Linked DNA regions of Rhinolophus ferrumequinum. Each later gene encodes a partner of the first gene's protein in a complex. Links are inferred from orthologs where the notes say so. Each region holds a gene or a part of one and is shown on either strand. Other genes may lie near its edges. The genes, in order: CMKLR1 and RARRES2.

Region 1 (14,961 bases):
TGATCTCATGGAGGCTTCTGGGAGGTTCTCCTGCGGCAAAAACCAGAGCATTCTGGAGTGTGCTGAGAAGGGGAAGCAGCGGACAAGGAAAGAGAGTAGGTTTGGCAGTTCAGCAGGCTCTGAGCTTCCTCCTCTGTCCACATTGACTAATTAGACCTACCTTGCTTACCTGATCTACCTGTGTGACCTTGGGCACCTTACTGACCCTCTCTGGGCCTCCGTGTCCTCATCTGTAGTGATGCGTAGAACTGTACCTGGAATGCACGCAGGGCTATCGAGATACATGATTGTTTAACAAAACTTAAGCAAAGAACGTCTGCCTGAGGTGTTTGCCCTCTGCGGCAGGAGGAACCAGATGTGACTTTGACTCCCAGCCCCCGTCCCAGCAAGGGTGAGCAGTGGTGGTGTGGGCAGGGCAGGGCCATCTGCAGCAGTATCGTCTGCCTGGTGACTGTCTGGTCCCTGGCGGGGGCTGGGCTTGCCAAAGAGGTACCAGGGCCTTGACTGCTGCATAACCACCCTCCAACTGGGCTGATGCTGTGACTTCCATTGCTTCCTCCAAGTTCATTCCCTGGCTGACAGAGGAGGCTAGTGGCCCTCTGAAAACGTGCGGCGCAAGGCCAAAGCTGCTTGTTTGGCCCTTGGCCCGCGCAGTGCGTCTTCCTCAGGGAGTCAGTGATCCAGGCACTGCCCACGCAGAAACCCCAGGCAGGGGGTTAGGGTGTCTGTTTGTTTGCTTTGGATTTTTCTGGACCTGGGGAGAGGACATAATGACACCCCTCCATCCATCTTCATCATCATCATCACTGGCCTCTGGAAGCCCTCGCACTTGTCCCAGTTTCTCTCTTTACTGCATTCATTTCCTTTTAGCCCTGTTTGCTACTCCTTCCCCCTCCCATTTCCGCTCCCAAAGAACCACCCTAATTTATTCAGGGTGTATCTTGTGATTTGGCCGTGTTCTTGCAAACAGTGCATTACTGTTTTATGCTTGTTGCTGCCTTTGCATGCATGTTTTCAATGTCCTTAAGTGCTGTTAGGGTAGGAGGTATCAAGGTGTTTTGTGTTTGCTTGCCCTGTGTGCCCTGGATACTCTGGGGCTTCTACCAGCTGCCCAGCGTTCACCCATCCCCTCTCTTCCAACCATAGGCAGACGAGCTGCCTGAGTCCCCTAGATTCTTGACCATTTTGAGCACACAGTCTCCCCGAGGGCTCTTCTGACAGCCTCATGGTGGGAGGAAAGCACACCCCCAGGATGGGGGTGGGGGTGGTATAAATACTCAGCCTCCTGGAGGGTGAACTCCATTGTTTCCTGAGTCACCAGCCTGGGCTAAGGCCACCCTCTGTGCCCTGGCCTAGCCCCTCCCCTTCCCAATCTTACTTTTCCACTACCTTACCGATTTTTCCTGGAACACTTTTGCAGGAATCCTCATGTGAGGCTTGCTTCTGGAGGACGGGAGCTAAGGCGTACCGGTGCAGACACAGCTCACGGGCATTCTTCTCCATAGGCCCTCGGGGGACTGGGAGGGGTTCCCGGGTCCCCGCAGACGGCATGCGAGCCTGTGCCTCACCTCCCCAACCCCAGGGGAATCCATGCCAGCTTCCTAGCTTCCTAGTCCTTGCCACAGTCTGACAGGCACAAAGTATTATCTGGTTGTGGTTCTTTTTTTTTTTTTTTTTTTTTTTTAAGATTTTATTAGGGCGGGGGAAGAGGGGAACAGGACTTTATTGGGGGAACAGTGTGTACTTCCAGGACTTTTTCCAAGTCAAGTTGTTGTCCTTTCAATCTTATGTGGAGGGCACAGCTCAGCTCCAGGTCCAGTTGCCGTTGCTAGTTGCAGGGGGCGCAGCCCACCATCCCTTGCGGGAGTCCAACCGGCAACCTTGTGGTTGAGAGCCCACTGGCCCATGTGGGAATCGAACCGGCAGCATTCGGCGTTAGGAGCACGGAGGAGCTCCAACCGCCTGAGCCACTGGGCCAGCCCAGGTTGTGGTTCTCATTTGCATGTCTTTGAGGATCAATTTGTCATATGCCTGGATTTGGGGGTTTCCCTCCTATAAATTACCTGTTCATAGCATCTGCTCGTTTTTCTGCAGGGGTTGCTCTCTTTTTGGATTTGCAGGAAAGAGTTACTTGTACATCCTAGATAGCAATTCCTTGTCAGGCTTAGAGCTTGTAAACTTATGCTGAAGGCACGGCTGTGTGTGTGTGTGTGTGTGTGTGTGTGTGGAGCCCACTGGAAGGACAGGGCCTGGTCCCCAGCATGGTGGGGCCTTGGGGCAGAGAGCTGGAGGTTGAAACCCCCACGCACAGTCAGTGACGTGGAGGTGCTCCAGATAGGAACGTTAACTTATAACAACAATGACAATGACATAGCTGTTACGGGTTGAATTGTGTGTGCCTCCCCCACCCGACCCCCGCCCGCAAATTCATATGTTGACATCCTAACCTCCAGTATTTCAGAATGTGACTATATTTGGAGATACCGCCTATAAAGAAGTGATTAGGGTAAAATGACGTCACTAGGGTGGGTCCGAATCCAATCCGACTGGTGTCCTCATGAGAAGAGATTAGGACACAGACACACACGGAGGGACGACCAGGTGAGGACATAGGGAGAAGGTGGCCATCCACCAGCCAAGGAGGGAGGCCTTAGGAGAAAAGGCCTCCCTTCCGACTCCTTGATCTCGGACTTCCAGTCTCCAGAACTGTGAGAAAAAAGGTCTGTTGTTTATGTCGCCCAGTCTGTGGCACTGGGTTCGAGCCGCCCGAGCTGACTGATACAGCAGGCAGCAAGCTCTGGGTTTCCAAAGCCGTGGAGAGAAGGATACTACCCCCTCTTGCAGGGCTGTTTGGGGACAGTCTGTGACCACATTTCTAATGGACTCGGCACCTGCCACATAGTAAGTGCCCAATAAATTACAATGCCAGTAATAGTAATACACGTACTTATTAAGCACTTGCTGTATGCCAGATCTAAGCAGGGGGCTGGGGAAGAGCGAGTGTCTGTTATCTAGCAGGCCTTCTGTGGGGGGATGGGGGCGGTGGCCTGGGGGGCGGGTAGGACATGGTCAGCATCACAGAGAGAGCCCTGGGGAACTGGACAGAGTGGAGATGAAGGAGGCAAGAGGGGTCAGAACCGGGTGCTAATAGAAAACTCTGGTGGACACTCATAGACAGAGCCACCACTACCAACGACGACGACAAAAACAAAAACAATAGTGGCTGTAAGCTCCACAGTGTTGCAAAACGCTTCACAGAACTTACTTTACCTTCCTGTGCCTTGGTGTTCCCATCTGAAAATGGGTATAATCATTTCTTAACCCTGGAGGGCTGTCATGAGGACTGGGTGAGACCCGTGTGTGAAATAAGTGGCCTGTTGTCCAGCACACAGGAAGGGCTTAATTATCAACGGTGAGCTTTCCATGTGCCAGGCAGTCAGCGCCCAAGCATTTAACCAACACCCTTTATTCAAGCCTCACAAGAGACCCGGGAGCTTGGTCCTCGGATTAGCCCCATTCATTAGCCCCTTGTATTGAAACTGAGTTTTGAGATGGCTAAGCAAGAGGCCTTAGTCTGTTCTGGCTGCTGGAGCAGAATACCATAGACGGGGTGGCTTAACAGCAAACATTTACTTCTCACAGTTCTGGAGGCTGAGATGTCCGAGATCAAGGTGCTGGCAGATTTGGTGTCTGGTGAGAACCTGCTTCCTGGTTCCTAGACTGTGTCCTCACAGGGTGGAAGAGACGAGAGCTGTCTGGAGTCCCTTTTATGCGGGCACTGATCCCACTCCTGAGGCGCCACCCCCATGACCTCATCACCTCTCAAAGGCCCCGCCTCCTAACACCATCACATTGGAGGTTAGGCTTCAGCACATGAATTTTTGGGGGGGACACAAAGATGCCAAGGTTACACAGTTTGTAGGTTGTGGAGCCAAGAGTCCAACACTGGTGGGTGTGAGGCCATATTCTGGGCCCTTAAAATCCCTTTGTTTTATTGGGCTTTGTTTTTTCCATGATATCATCACTGTCATTGTTATTATTTCTAATTTCCAGATCAACCTGGTGAACTAGAAAAAGCATGAATTCATCCATCCATTTGTTCTTTCAAACATTTGTTTGTTCATTCATTCATTCATTCATTCATTCATTCATTCATTCATTCATCAAACAATATTCCAGGTAATGTGCCAGAGTTATGAAGACACTGTTATGGGGGTGATAGGTACATAGGACTTCTCAATACTATTTTTGCAACTTCTTGTTATTGAACTGGGCAGAGAGGATCTAGAAACCATCTACCTCCCAGCCCCAACTCCAAAAGCTCATTTATTGCCTTAGCTCATCCTCCCAGCTGCCCTGAAAAGTAGGCAGGGCATGTACTGTTATACCCATTTTGCAGATTACACTACCGAGGTTCAGAGAGTAGAAGCTACTTGCCCAGATGTCACAGCAGGTCTCCTGCCTTCTCTACCACCTCCTCCCTGACATTTTCTCCTGGAGACCTATGGGAACTGCCCCAAGGAAAGAACAGCCAGGACTGGCCTCAGGAGTCTGTCGAAGGAGCTTCAGAGCAGACCAGCTCTAGGCCCTGGTTCCAAATGGGGTGTGAGTTCAAGGTCACAGGAAGAATCTGGGAGCCGATCCAGGACAGCTCATCTGCCCCCTGGGCTCCCTGAGGAACTGAGGGCAGGAAGGGGGACAGGCTGGCCACAGGCTCGCATGCCTGCCTGGGCTGTGATGGACAATGTCATCTTTGGCAATGACCCCCATGTGTGCCTCAGACCTCAGCCAGATTGTCCTGAAAACTGGGGGAAAGAGATTCCTTGAGGGGACTAAGCAAAGGAAATCAATGAGGAGTGTTCCTGGAGGGTGGAGCTGGGGACCCTGAGGGGTCAGGCAGGGTATGAATAGACATGGAAAGCAAGGTGGGGAAGAGCAGGGCTTGGAGTCAGAGCAACCTGGGTGTGCATTGGCCACTAGCTGACTGTGTGACATTAGCCTCACTTTTCCACCTTTACATTGGGACTAACAGAAGTACCACTCCTGGGCGTTAGTGGGGATGTGCGAACTAATGTAATTAAAGCGTTTGGTGTCCTGTTTGGGCTTTGTGTGCACCCATCAGTCATTATCAAGAGGAACTAAAACCAATATAAAGTATAATTAGATGTAGACATAAAGGCTAACCAAAACCAATGCAGAAACCTGCAGACCAGCAGGGCTCATGGGGTTGCTGCCTTTGACCTGAAAATGTGACTCTGAGCTTCCTTGGGGCCACATCAAAAAAGGAAAATGTGATCAGTTGTAGAGTTTGGGTTATTGAGAATGAGGAAGCAGCCCAGTTTCTCAGGGGAAAAAGTGCTGTTTCTTCCCCTACAGAGGTACAGAGAAGGTAACTCACTTGCTCAAGGACATAGGAAGTTCATGCAGAAGGAGGATTTGGATGCTGGCAGCCTGGCTGGGTCACAGAATCTGTGTCCTTGACCAACCAGTCCAGTACTTCCTGCTCTGGGGGCAGAAACAGGCTCAGGACAAGAGGAATGTGTGTGGGGACGGAGTGGAGGCTGAATGCAAACCTGTGATTGAGGCCCCCCTCCAGGGAGAGCTGAGGGGCTTGGTGGGGTGAAGACACATACTAACTGGGGATACTGACTCACTCAGCTCTCAGGATGAGGGGTGAGAGGTGACCGGGTAGAAATGCCCAGAGGATGTCAGCGCCACCCTGTGAGCGCCCAGTCTGGCCCCCATTCAAAGATGAAAAGATGTGGCCTCTGACCCCAAGCTGCTTCCTGCACAGCAGGAGAACCAGACATGACGTTATCTGTGTCCTTGGCACATTTCTGCAGACGCTGTGGTGCAAAGTGCTGGGCCTGAGTCCCCACCCCTTTCCGCCCTTCTCCTGAGGCTCAGACACCCCCATACCGCCATCAAAGGGGCGTTGTGGGGGGCATAGGGAGATGGCCTAGAATGCCCTCCTTCCACCTTCTTAACTCATAGTTGTCCTGGAAAACTCAGCTAGTAGGTTAAAACTTGAGCATCATGGGACTCTAGTGGGAATCCGCCTGCCCCGGGAAGGCTCGGACTTCCTGACCTGGCTCCCACCGCAGCACTTCCTCTGCCTTGTGCCTTGCTACTAACTGAGCTTTGTGGAGTCCCCTTCCTTCGTCTTTTCCCTTCTTCCTGGCTGGAACGTGGATGTGATGGCTGCAGGAAAGCCATTTCCTTGTCCTGCATTTCCTGGGGCCTGCATGGTCCGGCACAGGGGATGGGGACACGGTCATCCCTTCCTCAAGGATATACTCAGTGGCTGGCATCAGATCATGATTTCAGGGCACCATGGTGGTGGTAAGAGCCCAGGTTCTGCAGACCTGGTTCAAATCCCAGCTCTGCCACCTCCCGCCTGGATGCCTGGGGCAAGGGTCTTCGGCCTTGTGGGTGCCACTCATGGGCTAAAGTGGGGCCACCTGTATTACAGGCTCAGCAGAGTCCCTGGCATTCATCATTATCATGAACCCAGTCACATTTCCCCAATTAAGAGGGGCTAGCTGCAGTGTCCCTGACTTCTCTCCAAATTCCAGTGTCCCATGAAGCTCTGGGGACCCCTCATTGGTCACCTCTGGAATATCCTCCCAGCAGAGTGGAACGACATCCGAGCTCAAATTCTGAGTCCTTGGAGCCCAGAGTTCTCAAAGGAATTTCCCAAGTGGCTCTTACTTAATAAAAGCAAAAGATGACTTTTATGCAACAAAATATTAAACGCAAACCCATTAAGGACGAGCAATGAATTTAGACGGAGGAAGTGTGGAAAAACTGATCAAGAAGCATTGATTGGCAGTCTGGTTTGGAGCCCATTTGTCAAGATGGGGAGAGCGTGGGTGGTGGTATATGCATGGACTCTGGGGTGTCAGAGCCCTGGGTTCAAATTCCAGCTCGGCTGGCAGCTGTTACCTCTCGGCCGTAATGTAATCACTAACGTTTACTGAAGGTTTACTATGTGCCAGCACTAAGCCAAATGCTCCATGTTCCTGATGCCCGTGGTTCTTACCTCCACTCTGTGAAGTGGCTGTTCCCATTTTACTGACGAGAAAACTTGAGTTTCAGAGGGGCAGAAATCACGTGTTCAAAGCTGCACGGCTGGTGATTGGCCAAGGTTGGGCGTGAACCCTGCATACGACCACTGCCTCCCAGACCTCCCAAGCTTGCAAACTCCCCAGCGTTTCAGTTTGTTCTCCCATCAATTGGGAAAATACCCAACTGTTTTTCCCAATTGGGAAGGACCCGTTACGTTCTCAGGAGGCATTCAGTGAATGTATTCGTGTCTGTCTCCTCACCAGACTGCTGTGACAGCAGGGTCTGTGTCTAATTCACGGGACACGCTGGGCCCAGAGAATGAATGCCCAGTGAGAATGATGCTTCTCTCTCAGTTTCCACAGCTTCAAAAAAGGACTAATAACATGGCCTGGAAGAGCCCCCGGGAAGACGAAATGAGATGAAAAAGGCGTTACAGTTCTTGGCACATAGTGGGTGCTCTGGGTAGCTCCTCTTCTGTCTTCTGGGTGCCCAACATGGCCTGGAATGGTGTTTTCTGGGTCTGGCCCTAGCACTGTTTGCTTCGATCCATCCATACTCTCCCCTGTAACCACCCCTGACTCAGGCTGTCATTTATGGGTGTGCCATGGTGGGGACATGGGGTTTGGGATCAAGGGTCCAGCAGTTGATCAGGGTGTAAGGGGCTCCACCACTCCGAGCCGAGTGACCTTAGGTATGTCACTCAACCTCTCCTGCCCTCTGCTGCTTTTTCTGTAAACTGGAAGTAATGACAATAGATTCTCTGTGGCCCCTGGTCCACCCAGCGCTCTGGCCCTTAGACCAGGATCCAACTGCTGCCTCCTTGTTCTTCCCTGCAGGTGTTTCCAGCTGTGCACAGGGACTGATTGCCTGAGAACCCACGCTGGAGAGCTTCGGACACCATAACAGTGAACGGGGAGGGACTCTTGTGGTCTGAACTATTTCCAAAAGGCACCAGCGGGGGACCACTGACAAGGTGAGAGCCCCAGAGAATGCCAGCATAACTGTCCCCTGGGATTGGGAAACATGGCTGGAACCAAGCTCGTGGCGCTGTGCTCGTCTTCTTCATTGCACTTAGCAGCGTTGAGATTTGTCCATGATTAAGGAACTTTTTAATGACTGTCTCCCCCACCAGACTGTAAGGGGAATGGGAGGGTCCCAGAGTAGCAGCAGAACATGGTTGTCCAAAGGGTAGACTCTGAACCTGGGGCTTGATTCCCAGCTGTATGACCTTGGGCAAGTAACTTAAGCTCTCTGTGCCTCAGTTTCCTCATCTGAAAAATGGGTTCGTAACCTCCCTACCTCACTGAGTTGTTGGGAGGACAAAGAGAGTTTATATATATCAAACCTTTAGAATAGCACCTGGTACATAGGAGGTGCCAGAGAGGTGTTCATTAAATAAGTAAAAACAGCGAAACAGGAAGTAGTTAAACCACCAACCGGCCTTGCTCAGAACCGAGGAGAACCATGTCCGTCTTGCTGGTGTTGATCATCCTCTTGACGCTTAACACGTGCGTTCAAGGTTCCTCTAATGACCCCTGTCTCCTCGTTGCAGAGAATGGGGGACGAGGATTACAACATCTCCTACGATGACTACCCTGACGAGGTCAGCACCATCATGGTTTTGGAGGAGCTTTCGCCCCCCGAAAGCAGAGCGGTCAGGATCTTCCTGGTGGTGGTCTACAGCATCATCTGCTTCCTCGGGATCCTGGGCAATGGCCTAGTGATCTTCATGGCCACCTTCAAGATGAAGAAGACGGTGAACACCGTGTGGTTCCTCAACCTGGCGGTGGCAGACTTCCTGTTCAACCTCTTCCTCCCGATCCATATTGCCTACACCGCCATGGACTACCACTGGATTTTTGGGACGGCCATGTGCAAGATCAGCAGCTTCCTGCTCATGCACAACTTGTACACCAGCGTCTTCCTGTTGACCGTCATCAGCTTCGACCGCTGCATCTCGGTGCTGCTCCCTGTCTGGTCCCAGAACCACCGCAACGTGCGTCTGGCCTACGTGGCCTGCGTGGTCATCTGGCTCCTGGCTTTCTTCCTGAGTTCCCCATCCCTCGTGTTCCGGGACACAGCGCATCTGCACGGGAAGATATCCTGCTTCAACAACTTCAGCCTGTCAGCGGCCAACTCTTCCCCGTCGTCCTCTTCCTCCCGACTGGACTCGGTGGCGTTTGGCCGGCACATGGTGGTGACCGTCACCCGTTTCCTCTGTGGCTTCCTGATCCCGGTCCTGATCATCACAGCCTGCTATTTCACCATCGTCTGCAAGCTGCGACGCAACCGCCTGGCCAAGACCAAGAAGCCCTTCAAGATCATCATGACCATCATCGTCACCTTCTTTTTCTGCTGGTGCCCCTACCACACGCTCTACCTCCTGGAACTCCACCACTCCACCATGCCTGGGTCCGTCTTCAGCTTGGGTTTGCCCCTGGCCACGGCCATCGCCACTGCCAACAGCTGCATGAACCCCATTCTGTATGTCTTCATGGGTCAGGACTTCAAGAAGTTCAAGGTGGCCTTCTTCTCCCGCCTGGTTAATGCTCTGAGTGAGGACACGGGCCACTCCCCCTACCCCAGCCACAGGAGTTTTACCAAGATGTCGTCGCTCAATGAGAGGTCCTCGATGAACGGGAGGGAGACCAGCATGCTCTGATCCTCACCTGGGAGACCCTAATGGACACTCCCCACCTTGGAGTCCAAAGCTCTGCCTTCTCAAGACTATGGCAGGGACCGCTTCAGTACCCACCAATGCCCACCATAGTTTGTACGGGGCTGAACAATGTTTGGAGCTGGGCATCCAGGGCTCAGGACCCCTTTCTTCCAGTGGCATGGTGGACAGGGTGTGCTGTGTGGTTCATAGCTTTGGACCAGCATCCCTTGCTTTTGGGGAGACCAGCTTTGACTGACACAAAGCAAAAAAAGGGAGAATTCTCAAAACACTGCCATGAGCTGCGCTCAGCATTAAAAGTGAGATTACGCGCTCTACCGTGTGCTCCCCAGGAATGACACCAACACTTGACGGGGTCCGTTCCGAGTGTAGCAGAGGCGGTTGGAGCAAACCCAGTGTGATGCACATCACACCTCGCCCCACATACCTGTGCAATAGCCAGCCAGAAATCCCGCCACTCAAGCCCTTCCTCTGGGTTAGGCACATGTAAATACACAGTTACCTGGGAGGGGAAGATGACGTATGAGCCCGTGAACTCCCAGGATGATGAATTTGTTTTTCAGATCAGTTGAGAAGACGGGGAACAGGTCCTGAGGGGCCATGTGGGCTCTTTGTGAGGGCAAGACAAGTGGGGTGCAGTGAGGAATTGGGGCCCTTCAAAGGGTGTGGCAAGAAGCAGCTTACCCTAGACCTGAGCGTGATGGTGCTTTGGGATATAGCTATTTTGAGCGTGGAGGTGGTGCCTGTCCTTTTCCCCAAGCCCTGTTCTCACTTTGCAGTTGTTCCCAGGGGCCTGGGTTGAGGGGCCAGCTTCACCAGCAGCCCCCACCCATCCCAGGGGTTCCTCCCTCCTTCCCTTCCCTGGCTCTGACTGAAGCTGCTCAGAGTAAAACACTCTGGGACAAGAGGTGAGTAAGGAGCGCTTCTCCTCCGCCTCAACTTCCTAAAGACTTGCTGGAGACTCATTCAAAATCAGCTTCTGGAAGCAACCTGGGAGCGCCTCGAGGGCTGATAAGCGTGTCCAAGGGCTCAGACGCCGAACTCAAAGCGGAGTCTGGAGCCTGACTCCTGGAACTGTGCTCCTGAGAGGCAGGCCATGGGGTGCCAGGGGCACAGAGCTCGTCCTGTATGCAGCCATGTTGCTTTTTCTCCTCTCGTAGGACAGCTTCCGGTGCTACAGAGTGTTATTTCCCCATTTACAAATGACAAAGATGAGGTTCAGAGGAGACAAGTAACTGGCCCAAGGGCACACAGCTAGTCAGAGGCTCTGTCTGGCCCTAGGGAAAATGTATCTATTGAGAATATTCTAGACTCTAATGATAGCCTACATTTAGTTAGCACTTCCTATGATAAGCACTTTACATGTATCTCATTTATTCCTCACAGCTGCCCCGAGTTAGGTACAATTACGTATTACTTCCCTTTCACATATAAGGTAACAGAGGCTCAGAGAGGTTAAGTAAGTTGCCAGAGGGCACCCAGCTGGTCTCTGCCAGAGCCTGGATTTGAACCTAGGCCTGTCTGGCTCAGATAAGGCTGTGGAATCTTACGGTTCTGAGAAGGGCTTGGGTTTTGGACCATGAAAATACATTCCTCAGACGATTAATGTAAACAGCCGAGTGGCCTTGAAGCCAGCTTTGCAAATAGTTTTCAAAAATGACCCAAAATGGCAAAGAAAATGCAGTTGGCCTCCAGCTCCCTTGACACCCGTCCACACACGCCCACCCGCTCCTGCACCCCTGAGATCTCAGGGAAGGCAGTGGAGAGACAGGCCTGGCAGGAAGTAGCCCTTGTGGGCCAGAGGCCCTTTGGCCTCTGAGGGGCCGCATTCTGTTCTCTTCCAAGCCGCTTCATCGTGAAGCCAATTCTCCAAGATGCGGTGAACAGATGTAATGTCTCCATAGGCGCTGGGCAAGCTCCTGAGGCCACGGGCTGTTTGGAATCACACCTCGTTAAGAGACAAACTGTTCTTTCGTGGTTGGGTTGTTGTGTTTATGATGAGCCAATTCTGAATTGATCCCAAGCTGGGGCTTCCGATTGCTTTAAGCAATCTGTACTAGGACAGTTTGGGAACAAAAGGGGGGCTTTAACTATCACCCAGGGCCCCACCCCCCAGCACCTCCTTCTCCAACTTCACAGGTGAAGTAACTAAAGTACAAGGCAGCATGGGACGTGTTCTAGGTCCCAGAGACAGTCGTCGGCCACTCGGGCCTCTGACCCCCCCAGGACGCTGGGCTCCACGCCTCACGTCTCCCGGCTGCACACCGGCCAGGCTGGGGGAGCCAGGAAATCATTTTGTTGTTGGAAAAGCTGATGAACAGGAGCAAAATTCAAACCAGCTGTCTTCCTCCTTCGGGTTAGACCTCCTTTTTCTGGCCGCTCCACGGGTCTTCCTGTTCTAACTGTAGGTTCCCATCAAATGCTTAAATACAAACATGACATCCCCTTCACTCTCGTCCCTACCGTTTCTTTTGAGCATCTCCACCAGTCACACACCACGTCCCTGTGGTTCCCAAGGTGTGTTCATCTCCACCGGTCACACACCACGTCCCTGTGGTTCCCAAGGTGTGTTCACCTGCATTACTCTACAGACAAGCTCACGTGGTGCCCGAGAGCCCTCCCTTGGTGGCTGGGACTCAGCATAGGGCCACAGTGCTGCGCCCTGGGTGGGGTGGGTGGGGTGGGTGGTCCCAGGGGATGCTGGGAAACAGGCAGAGGGGCTAGAAGAGAAGGTGGTGTTTGAGGTCGGGAGAGGGAAGGGTGAGGGAAGCCCGAAAAAAAAGGAGAGTGACGATGAAGGAAAGGAATCTGACATTTATTAAGCCTCTTCCATGTGTAGGCACAAAATGTCATGAAACCCTCAGAATAGTTCTGAGAAGAGGACCAGCAGATGCACGTGGGGGATGCAGAAAGGGGGGATTGGATTGCGGACCTCACTTATTTAGGGTCACACAGCTAGTAAATGATGGAGCTGGCCTTTCAACCAGGTTTGCTGCCTGAGCTCCCAGCTTCTTCAGCCCTTGAGAGGAAGGAGAGAAAGACAGAAGGATTGAAGGGGCGGGGGGGACAAAAGGGAAGGTGGGCAGGAGCTTCGGGGCCAGGATGGGTGAGAGAAGAGAGAATCCCATAGTGAGAGCTATGAGGGCCCTTTAAATCATCTCACCCAGGCCTTTCCCATTTTACAGATGAGGGAGCTGAGGTTTTGGGAGGTGCCCTTTGAGAAATCGGCTAAAGGAAGTGGTGCTCGGCTTGGATGGAAGTCATCAGTGATTCATTCCCAACTCCTACCACTGGCCTCCCTCTCCCGTTCCTCCCTAACATGCTATGCTCTGGCTGAAGCCGGAGTACCCTGGGCCTGTGGTTGCCAAACCCCAGATTTGGATAATTGCTGCTGGGTGTGGTATTCAGAACTACCAAGAAGCCATGAAATAACTCAATAGAGGGCTTGCTTGCTTCCTCCCTTTGAGGACGAAGTTTCTCTGGAAGGAAGAGACTGAAGCAAGAGTGGGGCTCAGCGCAGCAGTTTCCTACCACAAACTCCCCCTTGCCTTCCCTGTCCACCTCACAGAATAGCAGTCGAGGCTCAGAGAGGCCAAGTGACCTGTCCAAAGTCACACAGCTATTGTGGTGAGCCTGTAGGAGAAACCCTGAAATTCCCAACTTACCATTCCCTAAATCTTGGACTTCAAGAAGTATGCATCTTGAAAAAAACTTCCCTCCACTTGTTTAGTTTCCCTAGCAACCAAGGATATATGACAGGTAGTGACTTACCCAAGATAACATAGGAAGCCATGGCAGATAGGAGACTGAACTCCAGGATGCCCTACTGCCAAGTCTGTGCTCTTTGGCACCACGTCAGGCCATCCAAGGACAGACGCTTCCATCTACACATTCGTCCACCCATCATTTCCCCTGTTCATCCATCCACTCATCTATTCACACGTCCATCCATCCACCTCCCCGTCCATTAACACAAGCACCTCTCTCTCCCTATCTCCACCCATTGAACCATTCCATAAAAACCTATGAAATACCTACGCTTTGGCAGGCCCTGTAGTCGGTACTGGGACTACTGGGATGCTCGGGCCATGTGCAATCTCTGTCCTTCTCAGCTCATTTATTGGCGAGTGGGAGAGACGGCCAATCATTTACGAACAACACAGAACAAAACCCCACACTCTGAAGGGGAAAGAAGCACAGTAAGTGCAATGCACACACTGTCGAGGGCTCTGACCTTGTCCAGAGGTCAAGGACACTTTCTCGGGGAAGAGACCCTGGAGAGGTGAATGACAGGGAAGCACTGATTCCGTGGGAGGTGCAGGAGGTGCTCCAGGTGGAGGAAACAGAATGGGCAGGGCAGCGGTGTTGATGTGGGAAGGAGCAGAGTGAACTTGAGGGGCTGGAAGGGGATGGGGGCTACCACAGAGCAGGTAGACAGAGCATGGACCATGTAGGATGGAGGGGAGGCAGGGCCAGACCGTGGGCCCCTGAGATTGAAGGGGAAGCTCTGTGCAGGTTAGTGCCGTGCTCAGACCTGGTATTGAAGTGATGCCCGATGCCTGGGCCATTCTGGGGATGACAAGTGGAGAGGGGCAGGAGGGGCAGCTCGGGGTGGGGGCTGCTGCTGCCTCCAAATGAGTGCGATGGTGCTTGGCCTGGGGAACAAAGGTACAGCCTGAGACGTGGACTATTGGAGAGAGATTTAAAAGCTCCCCACGCTTTCTCAGGGGAGTGGTTAGTGGGAAAGCAACCCAGGGACCATTTCAGCTGTACAGAGGGCTTGGTGCGTTGCTTTATTGATGGAAATTAATTGTAAATATTATTCAAATTTACCTCCCAATGCACAATTATATTGCTCAGGGGAGCCCTCTGGGCACACAATAAAGCCCTATAAATAATCCATATATTAACCTACAAGGAATGGAGGCATATTAATGCTGCAATTGCTGGTGGTGGCTCTGGGGAATTTATGCAAAGACTCCCAGCGCTTGCACTTGGGGTATAACCTTGGAGGTCACGGCGTTCTGTCCTGGGGGATCTTCCAGCAGTCTCTCCCCCCCCCCCCGCGAGATGGGATACCCCCAGGTGTGTCAGCCTGCTACTGCTCTAGAGACCTGGTCAATGGGCAGGTGGGGGCGAGGAGAGCGGTGCTGAGGGAGGAGGAAACACAGGTCTACAGATCACTCACCTTGTGCTCAAAGCTTCAACAAAAGCAA
Region 2 (15,366 bases), on another chromosome or scaffold:
ATGGGGTGCGTGTCACGCCCCAGCTGCTCAAGTCACGCTCGGGCGAGTTTGCCCTGGACTCCATCCTGCTTCTGAAGCTGCGAGGCTTGGGGCTAGTGGACCTGGGCTGCCTGGGGGCGTGCCTGGGCCTCGAGTGGCTGGACCTGTCGGGCAACGCGCTCACCCAGCTGGGCCCACTGGCCTCCTTGCGCCAGCTGGCCGTGCTCAATGTCGCCAACAATCGGCTAACAGGGTTGGAGCCACTGGCCGCCTGCGAGAACCTGCAGAATCTCAATGCAGCGGGCAACCTGCTGGCCACCCCTGGCCAGCTGCAGTGTCTGGCCGGACTGCGGGGCCTCGAGCACCTGCGGCTCCGGGACCCTTTGGCCCGGCTCAGCAACCCGCTCTGTGCCAGCCCCTCCTACGGGGCCGTGGTCCGAGAGCTGCTGCCCGGCCTGAAGGTCATCGATGGGGAGCGTGTGGCCGGCCGCGGCAGTGAGTTCTACCAGCTGTGTCGGGACCTGGACAGCCCCCTGTGGCCCAGCTCCAGCCCCGGCCCCAGCATGGCCGAGGCGCAGCCCTGGGTGGAGCCAGGGTACTGGGAGGCCTGGCCCACGCGGAGCAGTTCCATCCTGCAGGAGGCCTGCCGGCAGTTCCAGGACACACTGCAGGAGTGCCACGAGCTGGACCGCCAGGCCCAGGACAGCCTGGAGCAGGCCCAGCAGGCGCTCAGCTCTGCAGGCACCACCTCGTCGTTTGTCTTTTGAATGTGCTCCGTGGCGTGGGCCAGCCTGACCCAGGCCGTGGGGTTGGCGCATCGGAAGGTGTGGCCACATTCCCACCCCACCCCCAGATCTGCACCGGAATAGAGCGTTTCATCACGCTGGTCACTGGCCAGCAGACTGCCATTTGCTTATCTCTGTTCCTAAGAGCAGCCCCCACCCTCCCACTCCTCCCTCAAGGAAAATTCCACACCTTCCTTCAACATCCTTCAGGGAGGCACCTCCCCAGTGGCCTCTAACAGGTGTAAGGGCCCTCCACGAGCAGCTGGCACCTGTCCTGCTACGCGTGCTGTCTGTCTGTGCCCCAAGGGAGGAGGCCGCAGGGCGTGTCCACAGCTGCTGCCACTCCTGGCTGCTCGGGCCTGAACTTAGTGGAAAGAAGGAAGCCACTGCTTCCTAAGGTCAAAGGTGGCAAAGGCAGGGATGCTGTGCCCCCTCTCCAGGGGTCCTCCCAGAGCACAGAGCATGGGAGCTGCCCTCACCCACCTGCCACATGTGCTTGTCCAGGCGACCCTCCGCCGTGGCCCCCTGGAGCCTTCAACGCCCATTGTTACCCACGCTAATCCCTATTAAATATCTGTTTTAATTTGCAGCACTGCCTGTCATTTCACATGGGCATGAGTTCCTGCAAGCTCTGGTCTCTCCTGCGGAAAGGAGGTGCACACACGAGGCCCCCTGCCTGTTTTCTGGGTGTCCAAGAGGAAGTGCCCTGCTCCCCCTGGGGCTTTGCTTCCTCCTGCAAGAGTTTCCCGGCCTTTCCTCACTCCCTCAGCCTCCCACCAGCTGAGCTGAGGGGAGGAGAGGATGTGATGCAAACGGAGGAAAGAACACAGCTCAAGAGCAGTTTTATTAGCTTGGGGATAATGGGGTCGTCCTCGGGGCACAGGGAGGGGTGTTTCACTGGTTACCACCCCCAGCTGTCCAGAAAGCCAGGTGGAATTCTAGAGGGAAAAAACACCAAGATTTGGGTGTGAGAGGCTGTTTTGGTGCTGGTCCTGAGCCCCTCCCCTCGCGCCTCCCACAGCCCAGCACCCCAAACCCCACCCAGGGCTGTCCCCACTCCACTGTTCTCCCACCTCCCTGGCCACCTACCGGTCAGGCATTCGCCTTTATGAAGGCAAATTGTCCTGGGAAGTAGTAGCTTTGGGGGTCCTCACCAATCCGCTGTATCTTGCTGCACTGGGCCTCCTGGGGCTCCTTGGGCTCCTGCCAGCACCAGCACCGGCTCAGGCCCAGGGGCAGTGCCCAGGGGCAGTGCCCAGCGATGTCTGGCTCATCCTGTGCCTCTGCTGTGCCCCCTCCACAGCCCTTAGGGCATATCTGGGCCAGGCCAGAGGCCCTCCTCACCCACTTCTTACCCTCTTCACCTCTCCTCCCCTCTCCTCAGCCTTCCCACCCCTCCTCACCCCTCCTTGGCCCTCCCCACTCCTCTGTCCAGGCTTCAGCTTTCTCACTTGTTCCACAGGCCCAGCTTCTATCCATCATACCAGCCAGCTCCCCAGACTCTCTGCTCCTCTGCCCACTCTTACCCGTTGAACCTGCGCCTCTATCGGGCAGTGGACCATCCGGCCCAGGACTTTAGACTCCGAGTCCAGCTTGATGCAGGCCAGGCACTTCCGCTTCCTCTGGGAGGAGGGGAGGGCATGGGGCCAGGAGAGGAAAGGGGTGAGGGCAGGCCTGTGGCTCCATGAGGGTGGAGGCTAGGGGCTGCCTGCAATAGGGGTCCTTCCCCTGCAGGCCCTAAGGTGGAGGGCGAGGGTCGTGCAGGCCATCTGGTGTCAGGTATAGCCCACCCTCGGACTGGAAAATTTCACAAGTCAAACTATCCTGCAGTTCTCACATCTTTGGAACTTTAGTGTGTGTGTGTGTGTGTGTGTGTGTGTGCGCGCGCGCGCGCGCGCGCAGGAATCCGCAGGCAGGTTTTCCCCACCTGACTTCCACCAGACCTGTTCCGCTGTCATTATTTATTTGTATTTTCTTGTAAGATTTATTTTGAACACAAGGCTTCTGGCACGAAAATCTGGAAACCCACTGGTATAATCCAGCCCCTCCTTTAACAGATGGTGGGAACTGTGGCCGTCAGAGAACCTACAAAGCCACAGAGCTGGCCGGTGCTCAGCAGAGCTGGGTCTAGAACCCGGATGGTTGCACTCCCAGCCCAGACATCTCCCCCCAAAGCAGGTCTTGCCCCCAAGCTGAATGGTTACAGTTACAACCTGTTACGGATCAGCCCAGGCTGGGCCACCTCCACTTGGAGACCCACAGAAAAGAGAATTCACCAGGCCTGGGGGCCAGACCACCCCCACACCTTGGACTTCTCCCCATGACTGGGAAGCTTGGGAGAGGAATGCGGATGGCAGTTGTCCAGCCCTCCCTCCCACCCCTGGCTGTCCAGGCCCAGACCTCCCAGACTGTCCCGACCACGGGCTCCACAGTGGGGTCTCCAACCCCAGGGCTTCTTGTGAGATCTCCAACCAAACCTCAGTTACATACACTTGCACCGGAGCAAGTGCTTCATCACACACGTACGCTCACCCCGTTGGACTTGACTTTGCACTCCGCTTTCTTCCAGTCCTTCTTCCCGCAGTTCGTCTGCTGGAGCTTGAATTCCAGCCTCACAAATGTCCCCGCCGGGAAGGACTACCGACAGACAGACAGAGGAAGGCCAGCAGCCAGCTGAGTGTACAGAACAATTCCTGGATGTGACCCACCTCTCCTCCCGACAGTGGACAGCACATTCGAGTGGGTGGCTGGGCTGGTGGCCCTTCTCCAGAGAGCTGGGTGCTTCTGCACGTGCTTCCCGGGAATGTGCTAGCATCGTGGGGTGCGGGCCCCCCACCCTCCATGGGCCGTGCCGCTAACCGTGTCCGTGGCGCTGTCCATACTGGTCTTCTGGAAGGCCCACTGCACACGTGGGTGCTTGTGGAATTCCTCCAGGGCCACCTGCAGGCCCTGGTGCTGGGTGGCTGTGAGCTGAGCCCTACCCACGCCCACTGTGCCCAGCCACAGGGCCAGCAGGAGTAGTGGCCTCCACATGGCTTCACCTCAGTCACCCTGGTCCTGCAAACGGTGTGTATGAGCCTCAGCTCTTCCTGGCAGCCAGTGGAGCCGTCAAACCCCAGCCCTGCACTTGGGGGCCGTGCCCAGCAGAGCTTGGGCAGAGATAGAGAGACAGGAAGTGGCCCTTTGCTGAGATTACCCTGGTATTCCCCTGTCCTTCACTCCTCCCTACCCTGCCTCCCACTGTTCCCCGGGTCCAACTCAGCCCAGCTTTGGCCCTGTCCTGGGTGGGTGCTGAGTCAGCTTTTGTCCTTGGCCAACAGCCAGGGAAGCAATCCTGGTGCCCACTCCCTCCACCCCCACCCCTTTTCCGGCCCATTCTGTCTCCCCACTGCCCCTCTGCCCCTAGAGCCCCTCTCTGCTTTCCCTACCTCAGCCTCACCAGCCGCCTCCCCTTCCACCCTGGGTCTGCTGGCTTCCAGTTCCCAGCCTCTGGCCCTCATCTCCCCTCCCCACTGGATTACTTGATGGCGGGGTGGACTGGGGCATAGAAAGGAGGCTTGTTGGAGGCTGAATATTTTTGGAAGGACGCAAACACATGGGAGGGGCCAGAGCCGGGTGGGAACCCAGGAGGATGCTTAACCCTCCCGGTGCTGGGACTGCCAGTTGCCATGGGCCCTACCCCTGACCCAGAAAGGGGGTCTTGTCTGAGTCCCACCCATGGTTTTCTTTTCCAGGCAGACCCTCCTTCCCTTGCCTTTTTTTCTGGGCCTTCCACACCACCCCTCTCCCAGCCCTTCTGATCTCGTTCCCCAGTCCATCACTGGGGTCGCCCGAGGGGTGGACCCTCCCCGAGAACTCCGCCTGTACCAGTGGTGTTAGGACCAGGGAGCCACAGATGTGGAAACTGAGGCCCCTCAGTGACACGATACCAGGTTGTTGCCTTACAGCAAGGGCTCACGGACAAGTTGACAAGTCTCGCCCTTGGAGCGGTTCCCTCTGCCTGCCCCTCTTCTCCTGTCCAGCTGCCACACAGCCCGCTCTACCCTACTCACCTCCTCTCCTGTGTCCAGGGGTCTCTCCTAACTTTCCCCGGCAACTTGGCGAAGCAAGCAGCGTCTTTCTGGTCCCCCTGCCCCGGCACCGCCCTCCCTGCAGCGGGTTGGCCCCATGTCTTCCCACGCCCACCTCCTGGGCCCCGCTCCAGCCCAAGGCTCCGCCCCACCCTGTGAGGACCGGCCTCCCTGGCAGCACGCTCACCGGAGCCTTCCCTCTCCATCCCACCTTCCGCAGCCCCTCCTCCGTCCTGCCGCCTGACCCTTACCCAGGCTGGCATGCTGGCGCCTCACCCCGCCAGGGCTAGGTGGCCCCAGAAGACGTGAAACAAGGCTGCCCTCCGCTCACCTTCCCCGGGCCCAGGAGCCCAAGCGCCCGGCCTGGACTCTTCTCCCGGAATACGGGACTGCCCTGCCCCCCACCCTGCCTCCAGGTAGGGCTGCCCTTTTCTTAGGACCTTCCTGGGTGACCAGTCCCCAGCGTCAGGAAACACTCATTTCAGGAAATTGTTCCCAGAAATACAGCCATCCTCAAACCAGAAGACCCCTCAAGGAGTCATTCGATCCCTCCCCTGCATCCAGCACCCTGAAGCCACACTGAGAAGGAAAGAGTCATTTGCTGAGCCGACTCTGACATCCCGCAACCTCTATCGATGTCCAGTCTTGATCCTCGATGGCAATGGACTTCAGGGTTTCATGTGGGGGTGTTGGGAGCCCTCAGGCATGGCAGAACGGTGGGGTAGAATTCTTAGGGCCAATGGGGAGTCAGAGAAAACTGTCCAAATATTGTTTCAACTCCAGCTCATCCTGAGCAAATAGGAACCGGCTCCTGGAATTTGCATGTCAGTAACCAGGGCGACCCTGTCTCTGCCTCCCTGTGTCAATGACAGGAAGTAGAGGGTCTCATTGAACTTCCAAAGCCCAGAAACCCCTGCTTCTTTCTCTGCACAGTGGGATCAGAAACCCTACCCAAGGGGTTGTTGTAAAGATGAAATAAGTAAGTATATGGAAAATGACTGGTGGCCCATGTGGATGAAAAAGGGGCCACATACTAAGCCTGACAAGCTCAGGTGAGGCCAGCATGGTGGGCCCTACAAACTCAGAGACCGAAAGTAACCACATAGGATGGTCTGAACGTAAAAACTAACTAAAAGCAGATCATGGTGGGTAGTCACGTCCTAGGCCTGTCGCTTCCTTGACAAAGGTCAGTCTTTAGGTTAAATGAGCCTGAGCCTGTCTATTGTCTTTTTGCACCGAAGATAACATACCCTTGGAATGTCAGAGTCATCTCCTTTTCCAGACCCTCGAGGGCACACCCACTGCACCAGAGCTGGAGACCACAGAACCTCTCATTGTTACCTTGTTCCCTGAATACTGCTGGTTGCTCTCTGTGCTATAAATGTTAATTATTAACTATCCCGTACCCACCAATGGGAAAGAAGTGTCTCTCCCTTTCACTTTTTGATTCTGGGTTTAACCCTAAGAACTTCTTTTGGCTCCATCAGACCCAATCATCATGCCACTTAGTCGCCATGACTTTATATACGAGACGCATGTTTGTTAGACTGTAAACCTTCACAGACATGCACGGACAACGAGCAGCATCTCAGCCTCCCCTCTAAACACCGAGGGCAGTTTAGATGCTGGGAAATGAAGTACTTTCCAAGTGTTCTTTTTACAATTAATTTTATTGAATATATTATTTGCTGAATGTATTAGTTTAATAGACTGTTACTATAAAGTAGTTAAAAATGCGATATTACTGTAATTTATAATAACATCCACAAAATAAACCTTAAATCCTGTTAGAAGGAAACTCACTTCGAACGTTTTAAGACAGGGAAGGCAAACCAGCTCTGGGAACAGTGAGACTTCATTGGCCAATTCTGAAGGCACCAGCTTTACCTGTGACCTAGATTTGGTCTTGGAGCCGGACAGAAAGCACCGACCTAAAACCTGGTTTGCACTCTGATTCCTCATTTTAGTCGAGGGGAATCTGGGTAGGAATGAGCCAAGGTTAGATGTAGCCTTTTTGTGGGTGGTGAACACGTACAGATGGTTTTCATAAACAACAGCACACGCCTCTCACAGGAAACAAAACACTTGAAAATACACCTGGTTCTGCTAAATTGCAAAGACTTAGCAGAGATTCTGTTTCGAATTTCCTTGTGTTTTCCAATCAAACTTGGCTTTTAGTAGATTTTAAACCAACACTTGATACACATTGGCTTCTAAATCCATCTTTTAAGTTGAAGAAGATATAATCTGGAGTAGGAAAAAAAACATAGCATTGTAATAAGAGATGAGATTTGACCTTGAAAGGGTAGAAGTGCCGATTTCTAGGGAAAGTCAAGAACTCTCTTTCCAGGCTGAGACACCAAGATGACTGGTTGCAGTGTTTCCTGGTAATGTCTAGTCCTAGGACCAAATCACCAAACGGTGGTAAATGCCGTTGCCAGGAAGTGGAGGGCTCTCCTCCCACAAAGGGTCTGACTCTGGCCACGTCAGTCCCCCTCAGAGGTTCCCTAGAGGTTCTGGCATTCCAGCTATTCTGGAATAATGTTTCAGATAAAAGTATATGGTTCAGGTACCTGCTACCTACAACCAGAGTCCTTCAAGTGGTAGAGTTACAGACTGAGGTTTTCTTCCAAGTTCTTTGTTCTTTACCTCGCTCACATACTGACTCGAATTTTTCTGTAAGAAAACGTGGCATTTTCTCTCATTAAAAGTCCTTCCAGACTCCCAACACCTGCTTCACAAGCAGCAGCCAAGGGAAGAGAGTTTGCAGTTTACTGGTGAACGTGTGGCTTGTGGCTGCTGCTTAGGCAGCTCATTCTGGTCCAATTAAATTTGCTTAGCCAGTGGGTCAGCCTCTTACATTTCCTCATTCATTTGGTCCACAAACACTAACTGAATACCTGGCAGCGGGAGATTTGACCATAGCAGAGACAGGAGGCAATGTGACCACTGAAGCAACATGATACGCTGCTGGTTCTGAAAATGGAGGAAGTGGCCCCGAGTCCTACATGGAATGCAACTCTAGAAGCTGGAAAAGGCATGGACACAGATTCTCCCTTCGAGCCTCTGGAGGGAACATGGCTCTGCTGACATCTTGATTTTGACCCAGTGAAACCGCTTTTGGATATCTGACCTTCGGATCCTAGGCAGACAGAACAGCAACTCCAAAGGCCCTAGGGTGGGAATGAGCTATTGTGGCTGGGGCAGCGTGTCCAGCAGGACCCTGGATGCCAGGGAGCTAGAGAGGCAGGCACGGTCAGTCCAGATGGAACCATAGAGGCTGTGACAGTGGTTTGCCACGTCTGCAAAATGTGAAGTGAGCCACCTTATTTAAAAGGGTTAGTCTGGTATAAGAGACTGGACTCCGCGGCAGCTATGCAGGGAGCCAGGAGGGAGCGATGGCCACGCTGAGAGGTGAGAAGTGGTGAGCATGGCTTCACAGCCTTGGTGCACCCACGCCCTGGCACCCGCAGCAGGAAATCTGAGATCTCTACCTGGTTTCCTTTTGACTAAGTTCTTTTTCCTTTTAGAAAAACAGACTCCTGGAGTTAGCTATGCAGTAGAAAAGCGGTGCAGCAGTTTGGGGGATGACCTTGGATCCCCGTCTAAGGCTTCTCTTACAGTGTTCGCCCTTGCCAGGGGTTCTGCATGTGTCCACGCCTTTAAGGATATTTTTAGCACTCTGTAAGTAGGAGCACTCTGATCTGTTCCTGGAGAGTTTCCACGTGACCTAGCAAGACTGCTCTCAACCAAGCTGCTAGCCCTGGTCAGTCAGGGGCTTGCTCAGTTTGGGCCTTGGCTGCTTTCTCTCCCAGTTCTGATGCCGGAAGGGAACATGGGATGGAGGGCTGTGTGAGCATGTTGGGTGATTGTGCAGGTTTGAGGCCCTCCCGGCAGATGGGGCCTCCATCAAGGTCAGCGTGGTATGTGCTTTCTGCCTCTTTCCCACACGACCAAACACCTGGAAGGAGCTCGGTGAGAGTTTCCATATCTGCCTTCAGGATGCTGTCTGCTCCTGCAGCAGGAGTTAACAATCTTACTTAACAAGTCAGTTCTGTTAGAATGAAATGTTCTGCTCTTCTCTGCCCCCTTGTCTCCGCCACTTTTTCAACAGCCATCCATTCAGAAATTGTCATCAAGCATTTGATTTTATTTCATGTTAAATACTAACCCAAGAGATATTTCCATTGCTAAACGAGGGTTAAGAATCATTGTGGAAAACCAGTATGGGCCATTTCTGCCTGGCTCGTGATCAAGCCCGCACCTGGCACAGACGCAGATGGCGGGCACTGATTAAATATTTGTTGGATGTATGAGCGAGGTCTGGAACAGTCTAACAGCATGAGGTGGGTAAGTTTTCCTTCTTGTAGATAAAGGGCTGCTTCTAAACAATACCTGAGGGTCTTCATAGAGGATTTCTGGAGATGTTAAAAATGAATCTATAATGACATAGGAAAACCAAAAATTTGAACAAGTATTTGTACATTTGTTCTGCCATTAAGAATCATGTTATGAAAAGAATATCTAATAGAATAGGGGAAATTCACAATAGTGTTACGTGAAAAGACTAGACTACATCTTTGCAAGGTATTATCCCAGTTATGTCAAGTATACTTAGAGAAAGAACTATAGAAAAAACATCGGAGGACATATACCAAAATATTAAATGTATTTTACTCTAGGAGGTAAAAGTATGAAAGATTTTTATATTCTATTTCCTATTTATGGAATAGAATTTAACAGTGCTTTAAAAATACTTGTACAATTAAAAGATAGTCTTTGTTGAAAAGCACACAAGTACATGAAATTGTGCTAGCCTGGAAAACCCAGGAAGTGTTTCGTTTCGTTTGGAAAGCCAAGGCCACCTGCTAGTGGGTGAGTCACGGGCGGGCGCAGACTCGCACCTGCATCCGCACTGGCCAACCGGCTGCCGCGCGTTTCCCAGCGAAATGCCCCCAAGCGAGAACGGCCCCGCGGCCGGCGGTCACGGACGCCGGCTCTTTGCCTATTTCTGGAATAGAGGGCATTCCCTTTTCCAAGTTGACGCGATCTGGCGTTTTCTATCTCCACTTCTGAACAAACCAGAAGCCAGACGCTCGGATCTGGCGCGTCGCCGCGGGTGGGTGGATGCCAGCACCGCTCAGACCCCACGGCACTGAGGTTCCGCAGCGCGGCCCAAGGTCAAGGTGGCCGGAGAGTGGAGGGCGCGGGCCAGGAGCCGGAGCGCCCTGTCGGAAGGCTTGAGCGAGCTTGGAACCGTTAGGAAGCCAGTGAGGCTGCAGCTAACCTAGTGACCAGTGTGGCCACGCGGTCGCCCAGGGACGCCAGTCCTCCGTAGGGACAAAGGGTCGGGAAACTTGAGCCCGCCTGTCCCGGAAAAGCCAGGCTGTAGTCGCCAGGGCAACGGAGTCGGGCCCTCCCCGGCCTCCCCCGGCCTGGCCCGCGAGGGGGCGCTGGGGGCGGCAAGGGACCCGGCTCGGCCGTCCCGGCTGCCCCGCGTGGCCCGCCCCGCCCTCCGGCCGCGGCCGCCGGCCCGAGCCCGCGACTGACCCTCGGCAGCTCCTGTAGTCACGTGGCGCTGGGAACCGGCGGGGGGGCTGGGCACGGGCCTGGCAGTGGTGAACTCGAACCTGCTGCTGTCGCCGCGGCGGGGTGGGGAGCGTGGCCGCCGGCGCCGGCTTTCTGGCCTCATGGACGCGCGACGCGCCTCCGCGCACCCCTCTGGAGAGGTTCGTCCCGGGAAGGGCGCGGGGTTCCCACGCGGGCCCCGGCGGGGCGGCCCTACCTGCCGGGCGCGTGACCGTGTGCGCGCTGAGTGTGGGGGACATGCTGACCGAATTGGGAGGCGAGCCCGCGCACCTGCGCACAGGCTCCGCGAGGTGCGCTCTGCGCGGGGACCCGAAAGGGCCCACGCGGGGAGCGCTGAGCCGTGTGTCCGCGAACGGGAACGGAGGCACACGCGCGAATACAAAAGGAGGGTGTGGGGTGTCCACGGCCCTTTGCCATCGGGGCGCGCGAGGGGCTTCTGACCGAGTCTTGATTACACGAGCTCGCCTGCGCAGCCCCCTGGGAAACCGGCCTGGAATTCCTGTGGCGAGGAGGGTGGGGGGAGGGGAGTCAGCAGGGATTCCAGAGTTGCTGGCCTAGGCCAGCCTTTGGCCGTCAGCATGGAGAATTCGTGCGGTGACCTTACCCGTGGAGAAAGTGACCCCCATATGCAGCTGTGTACTTCCTTGAAGGGGACACATGCATTTATTAATCCAATATCCATTAAGGTCACTCTGCCAGCCGGGTGTGGGACTTGGGTGGGGGAGGGGGTGGTGGCTGGCGAGGACACAAAGATGACCGCCCCGGAGGAGCTCAGAGCCTCACGCGTGTTTTCTCTCCCCTCCCCACAGGTAAGGCTGGCCTCTCTGCAGTCGGAGGCCTGAGCTCTGCCATGGGGGTAGGGGTATCTTTACTGCTGCAGTTTTCTCTGACATCTGGGGGCTGCCAGAGTGTGGGAGGAAGCAGGCGCTGCAGCCGCAGAAGTATCCCCAGGAGCATCCCCAGCAGGAGCTGGAAAAAGCCTCGTCTCCAGCTCCACAGTCTCCAGGGTAGAGTCTGGCCTTATTTGTTGAGTCCCCTTTCCATTCCACAGCCCCAGGGCTCAGGCTTCCCCATCGTGGGGAAGGAAGGGCCTGTGGGGAAAGGATCCCTTCTCATATTCCTAGAGCCTTTCCTGGGCTCTGTCTGGCCGTTGGGAATGAGTCATGTCTGTGCTCCTTAGAGGAGCACAGACTCTAGGGAATTGAGGATGTGTCTGGCGTGTGAGCAGGCAGTGAAGGGGCCCTTGGGAGTCTAACTGCCACCCCACCCCTCAGTGGGCGTAGGAGGTTCTCCTGCAGGAATCTGGGCTCCCTGGCACCTCAGAGTTGCTGAATGTGGGACAGCCCCTGGCAGGGTTGGGGCAGGACTAGACAGGGGACAGAGATTACAGTCTTTTCTTTCCTCTCCTTCTGTTGCCCCAGTAATCCGTACAACCCCGAGGGAGGCAGTGCCAGGGCTCCGGGCCCCTGAGGGCAACAGGCTGTGGGTGTTCCTTGGATTCGGGAGAGCTTTCCTTCCGCGTGTGTGGGTGGAGGGGGTTTAGGCAGGCAGAAGGTGGGCACAGTCTGGACAGGCGGTGGCCTGGCGTTGTGCGGTGCTGGGCGTAGCACCCTGTTCCCAGAAGGGTTGTTCTCACTCATTCTCCAGGTTTCTACCCTGAGAGACTGAAGTCGGGGAGGCCGAAAGTGCCTCTTCAGGGTGTGATTAGAGCCCAGGCGAGGATAATAGGAATGAAAGGCTCTAGAATTTTCTTTCTGTGGGATCTTTACCAATCCAGGTGTTTAAGAGGAAAGAACACGGTCCTGGGACTTTAGAAGAACCTGTCCCCTCAGTGTCGGTTCTGCTGTTGGTTTACTGTGTCCCCTCAGGCAGATCCTGTTACCTTTTATGCCTCACGGTTCCTTCATCTATCAAACAGGGAGTTGAATATTTGCTCATCCAGCCTCACAGTTGCCATGAAACTCAGATGTGGCAACAGGAAATAGAGCAAGGAGAGGGCAGCAGGGCAGTACTTGGAAAAAGCATGAAGCACTGTAGGGGGAGGCGATAACGTTTTCTGGAGAGGCAGGAATGTGTGTGAAGCCGACTGGAAGTGTTTACTCCATGCCAGACACATGGCTGCCGTGAGGGGGATTCCAAGAAGTGTCAGAGTTTCTCCCTTCTGGTAGTTTCCAGGATCAATAAAGATGACTTCAAATATACTTGAAATGCATGTCTAGAAACCCAGGATTGAAATAACATAGAACCTACAAGGAAATAGAGGAGTCGTATAGATTCAGGGCTCTAGGAGTCCAAAGGGGCGAGCTCCTCTCTGGCGTGGGGTGGCTGGGGAGGACCTGGGGGCAGGGTGAGAGGCTCTCTAGAGTGACTCTGCTTTTCCGCCCGCAGCAGAGGAAGAACCGATGCTGGAACGTCGCTGCCGGGGCCCCCTGGCCACGGGCCCAATCCAGCCCCAACTCCTTTCTGGGCCCTCCCAGGTGTCACCCCAGACCCTGGAGAAGGAGCCCCACAGGCTGAGGTTACAAGGCACTTCCGTGGCCCAGTCGGGCAGCCAAGCTCCAGGTCGGGTCCATCGCTGTGCCCACTGTCGAAGGCACTTCCCGGGCTGGGTGGCCCTGTGGCTTCATGCCCGACGCTGCCAGGCCCGGCTGCCCCTGCCCTGCCCTGAATGTGGTCGCCGCTTCCGACACGCCCCCTTCTTGGCACTGCATTGCCAGGTCCATGCCGCTGCCACCCCAGACCTGGGCTTTGCCTGCCACCTCTGCGGGCAGAGCTTCCGAGGCTGGGTGGCTCTGGTGCTGCACCTGCGGGCCCACTCGGCTGCAAAACGGCCCATTGCCTGCCCCGAATGTGAGAGACGCTTCTGGCGACAAAAGCAGCTTCGAGTCCATTTGCGGCAGTGCCATCCCCCTGCCCCTGAGGCCCGGCCCTTCATATGTGGCAACTGTGGCCGGAGCTTTGCCCAGTGGGACCAGCTAGTTACTCACAAGCGGGTTCACGTAGCGGAGGCCCTGGAGGAGGCAGCAGCCAAGGCTCTTGGGCCTCGGCCCAGGGGCCGCCCGGCAGTGACAGCCCCCCGGCCGGGTGGAGATGCCGTTGACCGGCCCTTCCAGTGTGCCTGCTGTGGCAAGCGCTTCCGGCACAAACCCAACCTAATCGCCCACCGCCGCGTGCACACGGGTGAGCGGCCGCACCAGTGCCCTGAGTGCGGGAAGCGCTTCACCAATAAGCCCTACCTGACCTCGCACCGGCGCATCCATACTGGGGAGAAGCCCTACCCATGCACCGAGTGCGGACGCCGCTTCCGCCACAAACCCAACCTGCTGTCTCACAGCAAGATCCACAAGCGATCTGAAGGGTCTGCCCAGGGCGCCCCTGGCTTGGGGAGCCCCCAGATTCCAGTCGGACCCCTGGAGCCCTCAGCAGAGCCCACCCCAGAGGCTGCACTGAGACCTGCCCAGGAGCCTGGCCTGGAGCCTCTGCTGGAGGCCCCAGGAGAGGCCCCCCGGGACCAGGTGGAAGCCCCCCCATCTCTCTACAGCTGCGATGACTGTGGCAGGAGCTTCCGGCTGGAGCGCTTCCTGCGGGCCCACCAGCGGCAGCACACAGGGGAGCGGCCCTTTACCTGCTCTGAGTGTGGGAAGAACTTTGGCAAGAAGACCCACCTGGTGGCCCACTCCCGGGTCCACTCAGGGGAGCGGCCTTTTGCCTGCGAGGAGTGCGGGCGCCGCTTCTCCCAAGGCAGCCACCTGGCGGCCCACCGGCGTGACCATGCGCCCGAGCGGCCCTTCGTCTGCCCGGACTGTGGCAAGGCTTTCCGCCACAAGCCCTACCTGGCAGCCCACCGGCGTATCCACACCGGTGAGAAGCCCTACGTCTGCCCCGACTGTGGCAAAGCCTTCAGCCAGAAGTCCAACTTGGTGTCCCATCGGCGCATCCACACGGGCGAGCGCCCCTACGCATGCCCCGACTGTGACCGGAGCTTCAGCCAGAAGTCCAACCTCATCACCCACCGCAAGAGCCACATCCGCGACGGCGCCTTCTGCTGTGCCATCTGTGGCCAGACCTTTGACGACGAGGAGAAGCTCCTGGCCCATCAGAAGAAGCATGACGTCTAAGACGGCAGGGACTGTGGCGGCTGAGGGCCTGGGCGTCATTCACACGAGCGAGGGCTGCAGTGGGCCGTGGGGGTCTGTGTTGCTGCTGGTGTGGGTGAGGGGTGAGGAGTGACCTGGGCCCTGGTCGAGCGGGAGGTCACCCCCACCTCCAGGCCAGGAGAGAGAGCCACTTGCAGAGCACAGGGACCCCCGCCTCCAGCTGGTGGTTTTGCTAAGGTTCCTGCCTCACTGTCCTGCGCCCTGAAAAAGTAGCAATAGCAGCTCCACCCACCCCTTAGAGCCCTCTGGCTGGAGGAGCCGCCAGTGGACAGGAAGACCCTTCTCCACTGGTGTTAACGCCTTAATGTCCCTGTCTTTTATTATGAATTCCTTCAGCTCGGTGTTTCGGAAGTACTAGGAGGTGTGGTACCTTCTTAGTAACTGAGCGCTCGGGAGGAAAAGTGGACCAGCTGGATACACCCGGGAGAACCTGCCGGCCTTGTTGGGCAGGACGGTGAGGTGAAGCCACGCTGCTCTGACCTATCCCCCAAGCCGGTCCCTCCCTCCTGCCCCTGCACTGGCATTCAGACTTAGAGAGACCCCTCTCCTGTTGGTCTCAGCTCCCCTGCCTCCCTGAAGATCAGCCCCTGGGCACTTCCCCACCTTTCTGACTGGCTTTACCCGCCATCCTCCCCGCGCTGAGAGCATCCTCTGGCTGTCAGCAGCCCTGTGTCCAGGCTGCTGTCTGAACACCCAACCTGCTTTCACTCCTTTCAGAACCCCACATTGTAGAAAGGACCGCCTCACTGATAACGGTCAGCTGACGGGAAGATAGGGGTACTTCCT

What was found.
Region 2: the proteins of CMKLR1 (region 1) and RARRES2 are in contact, whole or in part, in a cryo-EM structure (PDB 8ZJG), measured with the Homo sapiens proteins. The link is inferred for Rhinolophus ferrumequinum from reciprocal best matches to the Homo sapiens genes CMKLR1 and RARRES2. Residues at the interface, in NP_001135815.1 of Homo sapiens: Asp20, Tyr21, Leu22, Asp23, Ser24, Ile25, Val26, Val27, Leu28, Phe88, Leu92, His95, Tyr103, His104, Asn116, Leu119, Ile120, Met123, Arg178, Leu183, His184, Gly185, Lys186, Ser188, Cys189, Phe190, Asn191, Trp203, Thr205, His217; in NP_002880.1 of Homo sapiens: Leu34, Phe37, His38, Phe60, Thr75, Ser76, Cys77, Arg96, Leu111, Gly112, Arg113, Leu114, Val115, His116, Cys117, Pro118, Ile119, Thr133, Leu136, Arg137, Gln139, Arg140, His146, Ser147, Phe148, Tyr149, Phe150, Pro151, Gly152, Gln153.

The regions. Positions count from the first base shown.
Region 1 is NC_046308.1:14,934,301-14,949,261, forward strand, and holds CMKLR1 (chemerin-like receptor 1), read left to right. Parts: upstream 1-7,903; 5' UTR 7,904-8,041; intron 8,042-8,620; 5' UTR 8,621-8,623; coding exon 8,624-9,730; 3' UTR 9,731-12,195; downstream 12,196-14,961. UniProt on the Homo sapiens protein: Receptor for the chemoattractant adipokine chemerin/RARRES2 and for the omega-3 fatty acid derived molecule resolvin E1.
Region 2 is NC_046309.1:4,160,265-4,175,630, reverse strand, and holds RARRES2 (retinoic acid receptor responder protein 2), read right to left. Parts: upstream 6,188-15,366; 5' UTR 6,085-6,187; intron 4,959-6,084; exon of another isoform or gene 4,817-4,958; intron 4,323-4,816; exon of another isoform or gene 4,193-4,322; intron 3,822-4,192; 5' UTR 3,798-3,821; coding exon 3,624-3,797; intron 3,402-3,623; coding exon 3,297-3,401; intron 2,387-3,296; coding exon 2,291-2,386; intron 1,968-2,290; coding exon 1,857-1,967; 3' UTR 1,854-1,856; intron 1,703-1,853; 3' UTR 1,590-1,702; downstream 1-1,589. Other genes in the region: LRRC61 (leucine-rich repeat-containing protein 61), read left to right, coding at 1-746; REPIN1 (replication initiator 1), read left to right, coding at 11,274-11,430, 12,812-14,541. UniProt on the Homo sapiens protein: Adipocyte-secreted protein (adipokine) that regulates adipogenesis, metabolism and inflammation through activation of the chemokine-like receptor 1 (CMKLR1). Also acts as a ligand for CMKLR2.